Regions from separate parts of the Mus musculus genome. Here region 2 is reported to be linked to region 1. The links are microRNA targets in miRTarBase. Many come from high-throughput screens and were not tested one by one. Region 1 holds a microRNA gene; the other region holds the end of a gene's coding sequence.
What was found. Region 1 holds the annotated microRNA mmu-miR-3093-5p (CGCACCCCGCGGAGCUCACACU, at 3,267-3,288, shown strand). A microRNA usually pairs through its seed, bases 2 to 8, with sites in the 3' UTR of a target mRNA and lowers its output. Matches are read on the target gene's strand: a 7mer-m8 pairs with bases 2 to 8, a 7mer-A1 pairs with bases 2 to 7 and ends in A, and an 8mer does both.

Region 1 (5,371 bases):
ACTCCAGGGCAGGGGGTTCCTGTAGAGGGCTGGGAATGGTAAAACTTGGTGAGACGGAAGGGAAACATCTTACTAGCAGCTAGGGCTCTCTTTTCCAAGGCTGGCTCTGACCTCCAAACTTTTTGGTGTTGGGAAGGGAGGAGAGGACAAAGGTACTTCAGGGGTTTGAAAGCAGTTTTGTGGGAAGAGCAAACCAATGCTCTTAGGAAGCTAGGTCAGCATGTGGGGAGGAGTTTAGTGTGCATGTCACATGTATGTCAGGCATCCTTGAAAGGGCACAAGGTGGCATGAAGGGCATGAGGGAGCATGCAGAGAACGGGTCACAGGCTTGTAGGCATGGTGGAGAAATGTAGTCAAGGGCTTTACCAGGGTTGATCTAGGAATTGTATTTAGCACCATGCCCAGAGGGAAAGTTGCCTAGAGAACATTTGGGGGGAAGAAACCCCTTTTTCTGCAGGTGTACTGGAGCTCCAGGAGCTCCCAAGCCCTCTGGGCACACCATTCTGAGCTGTAGGGGAGTGAAGGAGACAGTTTAGGGTGTGCCCTTTTCTCTGCCCCACCATTGGACATGGCTTAGTTCTGGCAAATCATCCAAGCTGCCAAAGCTTCTAGAACACCTCTCCCCCAGCTGGTTTTGGTGGTGCATACAGGCTTGTAATCTCAGCACTTGGGAGGCTGGAGGCAAGAAGATCAAAATTTCAAAGCTGGTCTGTGCTAAAATAAGTTCAAGGCTAGCCTGAGCAGCTTAGCGAGACTGTCACAGAATAAAAAGTGAAAGAGGTAGGGCTTAGGGGCAGTAAAAGAGGTCTGGGGTAGTGGGGCTTGCCTGGCCTATAAGAGGCCCTGGGCTTAACCCTCAGTACTTAAATTAATTAACAAGCCTCTCTCAGAAAAGAGCATTAAAACAACATAGAGAGAAAAAAACAACATAGAGGTTTGAAAAGAAAATAAAAGAAAGAAAAGAAAAAAAGAAAAGAGAGGGAGATTCAAAATAAATAAATAAATAGACAGATAAATAAATAAATAAGTAAATAAATAAATAAATTCTGGCTAAACCTGGTCCTGAGAATGCCCCAAGACATGGAGAGATAAGGCTATTTGCTTGCTATCATCCTTCTGGTAGGGAAACATCTTGTGGGTTTTATCTCATCTCAAGCTGGCCCCACCCACAGCCATGCAGCCAGCATTAATAGCAATGAACATTCAGACATACTCCGTTTTGGGTGAGAAGCACTAAGTTAAACCTATTAGCCACCACCTTCCATCTAAGCAAGATAAGCAGTCCACAGGTCTGGCTTTGTTTTGGGCTATTCATGGGACTAGCAGATAGACAGACCCAATGGTTAAAGTGATAGTCCCCTAAATGGACTGCTGGTGACTCCGTGTTTAGGGGTCCCTGGTTACAGGAACTGGCTGGTTTAATCTGACCAGCAGGATTTAGGCATCTCAGCCAGTTTTATAGAAGGGACCCAGCAGAGGATAAGTAGGAGGATGAAGGGACCGCTCACTGGCACACAGAGCAGCTCCTGGGGCCCATGGTTGCTCTGAGAATTTCGATGTACCTAGAACCCAGATGTTGCCCAACAGCAACTGGCTACTCCCCGGTGCTTTTCTGCTTCTGCTTCTTTGGTGGAGAAAAGGACCTTTCTGGCTGGACTGGATTGAGAGCCAGGTGGAGGAAGTTGAGGACGGGGACAGAGCTTTGCCTGAAAGGCATCTTCCTTGGGGAACCGAACCCAGAGCTGGCACTGCATGCCTGGGAGCCTGGAGGAACATGGGTAGAGGGAAAGACCTATTAAAGGTCTCCAGGACTTGGCCAAATTCTGAGTCTCAAAAGCAGCTAGGATTCTGTGGTTATCTGCAGATAGGGTCAAGGAACATTCCCCTGAAATGCAGAAAAGAGGGCCCCCTTTGCTCGCCCATTGTCTCATAGCAGGAGACTCAAACTGCACAGTCTTCCCTTCAGTGAGGGTTTGAGTTGAAAACCTTGAACAAAAGAGACCCTTGCCTCTCCTAAATATTAGGATCACAGTTTGGGAGGAATTAGAACTCAAAAAGACTCTAACGGTGGGGTGAGGTGGGAGGGGGTCAGAGATAGAGTCTCCAGTCCGCATCCCTGCCTCAACCTCCTGGTGCTGAGATTACAGATCTCTTCTCTTTGAGGGAATTTTGCCCTATTTATTTTCTATTTTTGCGTGCTGGTCTTGGTGCAATGTACCGTAGAGCCCAAAAGGAAAATGTAAGATCGACAAGAAGAGCGAAGGTGGCCATCAGAACCGCAATTGGCAATGGATTATAGACGTGGCAGGCGGGTTGTAGATGAGGCAGCAAAAGACTAAGGATTGGCATAAAGACATTGGATCCCATTCTCTGGGGGAGGGGCACCCCAATTGCACGTCTTGGACTGGCCTGGGGAGGGAGGGGGTCGGGCATGGAAAGGCTGGGGGGGAGGGGGGGAAGAAACGAGACAGTGACGTCAGACCAGGTATAGCCAATCAGGGGCTGACCTGAGGAAGGAGTGTGAAGGGATGAATGAAAAGTCCGGAGCCTGAGAGCGCCCCCGCCAGAGCAGCGGCCAAGGCTGAGGAGAGAGCTGGGACTCGAGACCCTGCTCCACCCTGCTGGCTCTCGCTCGGCCCCATTACCTGGCAAGCCCCGGCATCCTTGACCCACGTCCGTGGCGCTGCCTGGGTAGGAACGCGCCTGAAGACCGCGCAGGACACTACCACTGGGCATCCTGGGTTTGATGTAAGTGGCCTGACCCGCGTGGGGCACGAGGTGGGGAAAGCGCCTCAGAGTCCAGCGCGCGCGTCCGCCACCTGCGACCACGGAGCTCTACACCCTCTGCACGGTCCCTGGACCTCCTTCCAGTGGGTTCAGTCCAGATAGCCCCCTCCAGCCACTAAGGGCATCTCTCACTCAGACCCCCAGTGGCATATTTCACATCTCTGAATGATTTCGGCTGCGTTTTGCACAAAACCGGCTCCCGCGCGGTTCCGTAGGTCCAGGGCTCGGAGCACCTGCCTGGTCACCCTTTGCCCTAACCCGCAGCCCCACGTCCTGACTGCTCGCCCGATTCTCTCTGGGTGGGGTCTTTGCCCTTGGGAGAGTCGCTGGGGAGTCTCTAGATCACCCTCCACCCCGCCGCCAGCCACAGGCTTCCCTCTGGGCCTCGGGGTTCCCCAGTGCTGGGGTTCCCGTCCGGGGCTTCGCGGCCGCTCCCCTGCAGTCGGTAGCTCGGAGCAGCTCTGCGAGCTCGGCTCTGCCGCACCCCGCGGAGCTCACACTCGACCTTCCAGAGAAGGGTGTGGACACCGTGGGAGGTTGGGGAGGCCTCGGCCTAGGCTTCTGCGGTCTTCCCGGATGGCACGAAGGCCCTGGAGCCTTTCCACTAGCACCGGCGGAACCCTGCTTCTGCACGGAGGAGGGAGTGGGAAATGGGCGGTCAGGCTTGGGGCCGCTTGGTTTCAGCCTAGATTCCCGACCTCAGAACCGTCGGCGGTAGCATCTTTTCCTCGCCTTTCTGAGGTCTCGTCGTGATAGTGCGTGAGGTCCTGGATCCCATCTTTTCGCCTCCACACCACGCGCGTCCCCCATCCGCCGTCGAGCGACTCGAGACTACGGAGGTCCAGGCGGTGGCCGGGAGGCTGCGTGGAAGAGGAGGAGGCGGCCAGGAGGCGGGGTTGGTTGTTATCTTTGGTTATCTAGCTGTATGAGTGGTGTGGAGTCTTCATAAAGCTAGATAACCGAAAGTAAAAATAACCCCATACACTGCGCAGAGGGCCTGGAACGCTGGTAGTGGCCGAGCTGCAGGAGGGAGAGCCGTGCCAGGCGTGCCTGGAGGCTGGAGGGCTGGGGGGAGGGGGACTCGTCGCCTTCAAAGGTTGCTCAGCCCGAGCCACCTCGCGATCCCCACCCGCAACCTGCTCACCTGGGAAGAAAGCAAGAAGCCGCTCTGGGGTCGCCTCTGGAGGCCTGGTCAAAATGGAGCAGTCTGGGCCTCAGTCCGGAGAAGCCGCTCCCGGGAGAGACAGAGCCCTTGGCTGAAGGGTTGGGGGGAAAGTGCAAGCATCCCTCTCCCGGTCTCGACGCATCCCGGGAGCGGGTGGCTGGTGTGAGCAGCTTCCCTCTGGCTCTTCGAAGCGACTGGTGGAGTTCGAGGTTCGTAGGATGTCTCTAGAAAGCTGGTTTTTGCTTTGGTGGTTTCCCTGAAGCCCTTCAGCTTTACTGGGAGTCAAGATTGCCCAGGTGGGAACAGGTCTAGGAGCGGGGAAGGCTTAAAAACCAACACACACATCGAACTTATTAGGGAGAATGGCGATGCAGAAACAAAGTAACCACAAGGGCAAGGGCCAGAGTGGCCAGAGACCTTTTTACCCCACAGGAATTCTGGGACCCTGGGGCGCAGGTTCTTTGCTTTCACTTTGGCCTTCAGGACCAGAGCTAAGTCTAACTGAACTCTCTCTGGCTGCTTTGTCATTAGTGGCTAAAGGTGTAGAGTTGGGGTGGGGGGCTTTAGAGCATCCCACCTTTCGGTCCTAACCTCACTCTTGGAAATCGTGTCCCAAAGGAACAAATGGCCTCAAGGAGCTCTGTGGAGCTCAAACACAAAGGAATGTGTAGCTGTGCTGCCCAGAGAACGCAAAGAATTAGAGAGATTAATTTGGGCTCCTGTAAAAAGAATCTATTTATCTTGCCTGACCTAAATATTTTAGTGAAAGAGGGTTTCTACAGCTGAGAAGATGGTCTAACAAACATGGCCAGAGCTAGGAATCCCCTCTGCTCTCATGGCCCTCAGCCGAACTTGACCAGCTGGCACTTGGAGACCTGGGCTGTACCGACTAATAAGAGGCAGAAAACTGGGCAAAATGTCATCACCCAGACTCCGCTGGTTCTTATAAATTTAAAATTTCCTCCCGGGACCTGATTTTACAGTTAGAAGATAATGATTCAATTTTGTATTACATGGGGGGAAATATTAGAGAATCCAAATTCAAATTCTGGGACTTCAGGGAATCTATTGCCTGTGTGTGTCTTCTTTAGCAGTTAGGGGAGGGAGAGTCGAGTGGCCTCTTAAATTCCAGAAGCTTGGAATTTGTTTTGTTTTGGTAGGGGTGGTGGGGATGAAGCTTAAGTCAAGGAGAAAAGAGGCTGGGTCTAGGCTGGAACTAATGGTCTGGCCACAGCCTGTTTTCTTTTTCCGCTGCTTGAGAGATGCCATGTGATCCCATGTTACACAGGCACAAGTGAGCAGCTGACATTACTCACTGGCTTGACACTCAAAGCTCCTTCCATTTACTCTGTCTTGGAGAAAGTGACACTCCCCACCCCAAGGGAGCCAACTGGGAAAGTAGAAAGAAGGGAAGCCTCT
Region 2 (5,371 bases), not on the chromosome of region 1:
CAAACAAAACAAACAAACAAAAAAACAAACAAACAACAGAAAGTCAAATGATAACAACACACAGACACGCTATGCCCACAGCAAAGATGGAGTGCTGAGCAGACAGGCCGCCAGGCAGATAGCCACTCGGCAGCCCCCGAGGGGTAGTGTTCAATGACACTGAAGGACTTCTCTCGGGCTGGGTCCATGTATCATCAGGAGCTCTTTTTTTTTCTTCATAATGAAGCTGCAGTTCATGAAGGGTGTGGCAGAACACACCTGTTACCCTACGAATGCTCTTCTCTCTCTGAAGGGCAGAGGTAGAACCCCTGAAAATCCTCTGTGCCACAAAACCACTAAGAACACCAGGAACGTGCTCTAGATGTTAAGCCTATGCTGGCAGCAACCCAGAAAGCAGTCACATCCCAGTAAAAACGGTGAGCTTCCTGATGTTTTAACTTGTCCTGCTTCCATCCTTGCCTTCCCAGCTTCGTGGTCATCCTAGAAACCAATAGCCAAAAAATTATGGTGAAGTCCAACAGCCCGATAGCTAATGTGAGTCACAGAAATGGGTTGCAGGTAGCCCCCGAAGGCAGGCCAGGTGCACCGAGGAGTTCAGTGCAAGCAACCTCAAAGCCTGAGAAATGACTAGTTACCTTGTGGGGCTGCTTGTACAAAGTGCTGTAGTGTCTGGACATCCTCTGGAGATTGACAGGTATCTACATACTCAGCCAGAGCCACAAGATTAGTAAGGCATTCTAGCAAATAGCTTCATCTTTACCCTGTGCTGGAAGCACACATGGCTTTCCTGCATGACCACTGGTCCACTTGACCATCGTGCCATGATTCAGATGGGGGCACAAGACACCGAGAAGGGATGGCCTGGGGTCTGCAGCTGAAATTACCACCTGCTGACTTCTGTAATATATAACACTTGTTTAGGGAACTATAGTCATATCTGACTTGGCTCTGGATGGTAGGTGAATTTAGAATCACGGCCATCCATTTGCAGAGTTTAGGGAATAATAAGGGATAGGCAAGAGAGACTCCCCAGGTAGCTGACAAGAGGTAAGGATATTTGCTGTCTTGCTGTTTCTAGGAAAATCCTGCCTTCCTCTGGGTGGTATCATAAACTGAAATAACCAGTGATAGCCAAAGGCTCGTCAACCCCCACAGTAAGAGGACCAAACCCAAGGACACAAAACACTTGAAATATCTTTAATGCTCCAGGCATTTAAAACATTCAATATAGTTGCCTTATTTCAGAAATGCCCTCTTCGGTGCAGGCTCTGTGTCCAGGATTGGAGGCACATACATCGGCTACTGAATCCTCAGGACAGCACCCACAACCCACATGCAACCCACTTTGGCACCTTGTCATTTTGTTCATGGGTCCCCTCCCTGCCACACTGGTACTAGGACTGAGTTCACCCAAGAACACAACCACGCCTGTTTATAAGAATACCTTATAGCATCACTATCACTGGCTGGCCCTGTGGGTCACAGACCATTCCCAGCGCTCCCCGATGTCCTGTGCATGTGTCATCCCACAGAGCTACTGACACACACTGTCAGCTGCTGTGCAGGCCAGCTCCATGCTGTTTCACAACACAGAGGCACTTATATATTCTTGGCAAAATGGACTTTATAATTGCCATTGAAGTCAAGTGTGAGGGGAGGGGCTTTTCTCCCATAATTAATGGATAACTCTAATATATATGATTAGATTTATAGATTAGTGTCTGTGTACATTTGCTACCAAGGACTTGACTACTGCTTAGGTAAATGAACGCATGTTTGATTTTTCAGATGCCTGGACGAGAAGCAAACTGAGACACTGCTTGGATAATATTTAGACTATGAATACACATATCAGCATCTGATTGTTCTTACAGAATTGCTTGCTTCAAAGAGTATTTTTTTTTGAGCCTAATCCTTAAGTGATTCTTCCAAGATAATAATGTGTTGCCCTCTTTCCCAAAGCAATGGTTCAAGGCACCTCAAGGCATACTGTTACCTGAGGTTCTGATTCAATTAGCCACAGGTGGGAAGGGTTAGCCACTTACTTAACTTCATGGAGAGTGTAGCATGCGGTCGGCATTGAGAACCTTGGTACCAAAGGCCCCTGAGTCTTCCACTTACTCTCTTTTGTTCTCACAAAACCTCCCTGAGGTAGCCCCTGGGTCAGGTAATGTCTCCTCCACGAGACACTAAGGCACAGTGGGTTATTTGGCTTGTGTGACATTGTGCAGTCTAATGACAGTGCCATGGGTGGAATTGGCATCTCCAAACAACCCCCCAACCCTGGGTGATGGGCAGCACTTACACCAACTGACCATGAAGAGTGACTGGGAGGCCAGGCATGGCCATCTGTGCCAGGGATACCATATAATGGTATGAAACGGCTCAAAGCCAGCCGATCTTCCTACTTGGTGGGAAGGAAATGCATAAAAATGGTTGAAGCTATGTGAGGAAGGAACTCAACCCTTCCCACTTTGTAACACCTCACTTCCTTTATACAGAGGGTATGGATTTGTTTAGGCTTATTACAAAACCTGTCAGAATTCATAAAGATTTACTGACATCTGCTTTTCCAGCTCCATAACAGCTAAACACTCTTGAATGTCCCTGTGATTTGGCTCCAAGAACCCACAGACCTCCCTGCTTTCTCCATTACCAGCCCACCTAGCCTAGCCGAGGACCCAGCACCCCCCTCCCTTTCTAAGTGAGTGTGCACACTGCCTTCTCAGACCACTCCCCGTCAGCTGTGCTGGGCCTCTAGAACTGATTTCATACTGAGTGTTTAACTTTGCTCTTGGTGCCGCCTCTGTTACCCACATTCCAGGTAACCCTGGCACCTTTGCCCTCTAACTCCAGGCTCCCATGAGTTAGAACTTTCCTTGCTTCAGTAAATACTGTCACATGCTGCCACCCACTGGTGCACATTCTAAAATTGTCTCATCTTTCCTTTCCTCGCCGCAAGCGCCCACACCTCACCCTGTCTGAGGAAGAGGTGCTTCAGCAGGTCTTCTGTGGACATTTCACTCGACTGTAGAGTGTACGAAGTAAATGCAAATGAAGACGCACACGGTTACACCAGCAAAGAACACACTGTGCTCTGGGGAGAAGGGCAGATTCGCTTCGTCTGCCGTGGTTCCAGGACACTCTTCAGAAGCGCCTGTTCACACGCTCACCCTGAATACACGAGACTCTTCCTGACACCACCATGGAAGCGGGCTCCCTAGAAGTCTATAAAATATGAATGGACCCATGACCCAGAAACAACATCTCATGGTACACTTTTGTGGACACTTAAAAGAAGCAGTGCAGAGCTCCAAAAATACTTCTTTCTCACTCAGGCAGGCACACCCTCACTGAGAGGGCGTCTCTCCTGTCACTTACATGCATATGCAGACTGGGCCCTTTCTGGAATGGAACCTGGCCCTCCAGCTCCTGCAGAGGCCCTTGGAGCCAAGGAGGCCCCGCATGGGGAGAGCTATGAGGTGAGGAGTGTGAGGAAAAGGATTCTACCTTCTCTGACTCCCAGAAAGGATTGCTACAAAGGTTCAAAGGTGGGGGGAGGGGGTTGTGGGGGGATAAAGGGGAGAGAAATTGCAAAGCGGCATTCAGAATTCTGGTTAAACCAAAGATAACTGAGACTCAAGACTCTTCAGAGACTCCCTCCCACCCACCCATCCACCCATCCCTTTAAGTAAAGTAAGATTATCATGGTTTTGTTTTTGTTTTTCTCTCTCTCATGCTTATTTGATGCTTGCAGATTCGTCAGGCCTGCGGCTTTTGTTTCTAAAACATGCAGTGAGCAGCATACACTGGCGTCCACAGGACCCCTGGCAGGCGCTCACTCATAGCCCACCGGGATGGTGACAAGCAAGAGGCCTTCACTGACAGGCCAGGGCACAGCCCGGACTGTGATGCATGCTGGTCCAGAGTTCAGCGGGACATAGTGTCGCAGGGAACATGTGGCAACCTCTAAAATGCTCTAAGGTCCAGTCTGTGTCCAGTGAGGCTGCACCATGCACAGACTAAGGCACTAAAGCTGCAGCAGGTGAGCAGACACCCCCTCAGAGGCCCCTGGGCTGCATCCCGGGGAGAAGGCGCTCTGTTCCCAGTACCATCCAAGGCCAGAAACCGCTCAAAGGATCAGATCACGCCATAACAAATCCCTGGTCCCAGCCCTTCAGAGAAGTGCTGGGCTCTCCCTCTCAGTCGCTTGCGCCAGCTTCCCAAGGTCTCCACAGCACTGTGGGCAGCTCAGCTGCTCTTCCACAGCCGCCATCTCTTCACACTCTTCCTGCACATCTGTCCCCCAGCATGCCTTGACAAGGAGCAGTCCAGTTCTCTCTCTTTCCTCTGGAGCAGGACCCCGTACATTTCCCAAGGTGGCTCTGTGCCTTCCGGTGCTTCACAGCTTGACGAACGCAGCCGGCTGCTGCGGCACCTGCTCCGTGTCCGGGGGTGGGAAGACACTGGATATGGCTATGTCCACGATGCCCTGGCACAGTTCTGCATAGAGTTTCCTGAAATAAGTTGTTAAAGATGTCACTGAGGCTGTTCATCAAAGCTGGGTATGGTGTGTGTGTGTGTGTGTGTGTGTATTTCAGTGACGATCTGCCCTAGAAATTCCTCTTTTGAAAAACTCGTCTCTGTGAATAAAGTACCCACAAGAGGCTCTGCACACAGATAAACCATGTAAGGCCTTGATGGGAACAAGGAGCTCCTGATGACTGGCAGAGAAGGTAATTTCAGTAGAATCAGGAGCCTGGCTCACCTGTCTGTGAGGCTGTACAAGGAGGGGTAGGCATCGGCCAGGAAAATCAACACCTTCTAAGAGAAAAGGGACACTAGTGAAGACTGGTGGAGTTGACAGTTGAGATGGGACTCAGGAAATAAAGAGTCATCTGACAAAGAGTGATGACAGCGTAGAAAAGCAGAGGAAGGAGAGGCAGGAGACAGAGGGTCTGGAGAAGGGGAAGGAGGCTGTGTGGGTGCGCATGCTGGGCAGTATGCGAGGGGAGCAGTAATCTATACCAACAAGACTGAAGAACTCAGGATACATAGGAGAAACGGAACTTGAGAGCAGAGCAAGCGTATTGTAGGCCCAAGGTCATGTGGCTCAGTGGGCTTAACTTCCCCTAGGGGCAACAGAACCCCATCATCTTAGTTCCCTTTCCTGTAATTCTAATCAGCACACGGGAGGTTTCGCCCCAGCATCCCTGACTTCTAACACCCACGGCTGCACAGCAGAACACAAAGGAGAGACCCTCCCATCTCCCTATGACAGTGTGTGGGGAGGTTGTCTGTCTGGTTCCCTTGTGGGACTCCATAGGTAGGATGAGTCCCCAGAGCCAACTGCTTGGGACTGACCCTTAGC

Region 2: miRTarBase lists Ttl as a target of mmu-miR-3093-5p. Seed matches in the 3' UTR shown: 7mer-m8 at 2,685-2,691.

Annotation. Positions count from the first base shown.
Region 1 is chr3:88,211,920-88,217,290 of GRCm38, forward strand. It overlaps Mir3093 (microRNA 3093), which reads left to right and starts at 3,252; the gene lies at 3,252-3,338. The region is part of intron 2 of Gm3764 (predicted gene 3764); the gene reads left to right. It overlaps Mir9-1 (microRNA 9-1), which reads left to right and starts at 3,679; the gene lies at 3,679-3,767. It overlaps Gm25641 (predicted gene, 25641), which reads right to left and starts at 3,751; the gene lies at 3,694-3,751.
Region 2 is chr2:129,092,087-129,097,457 of GRCm38, reverse strand. It overlaps Ttl (tubulin tyrosine ligase), which reads right to left. Exons shown (of 7, transcript NM_027192.2): 7 at 1,175-4,517. The coding sequence ends at 4,403. It overlaps Gm46764 (predicted gene, 46764), which reads left to right. Exons shown (of 3, transcript NR_168333.1): 2 at 2,963-3,482; 3 at 3,758-4,685. Among named protein-coding and RNA genes, the nearest start is that of Gm46764, 6.2 kb to the left of the region's middle.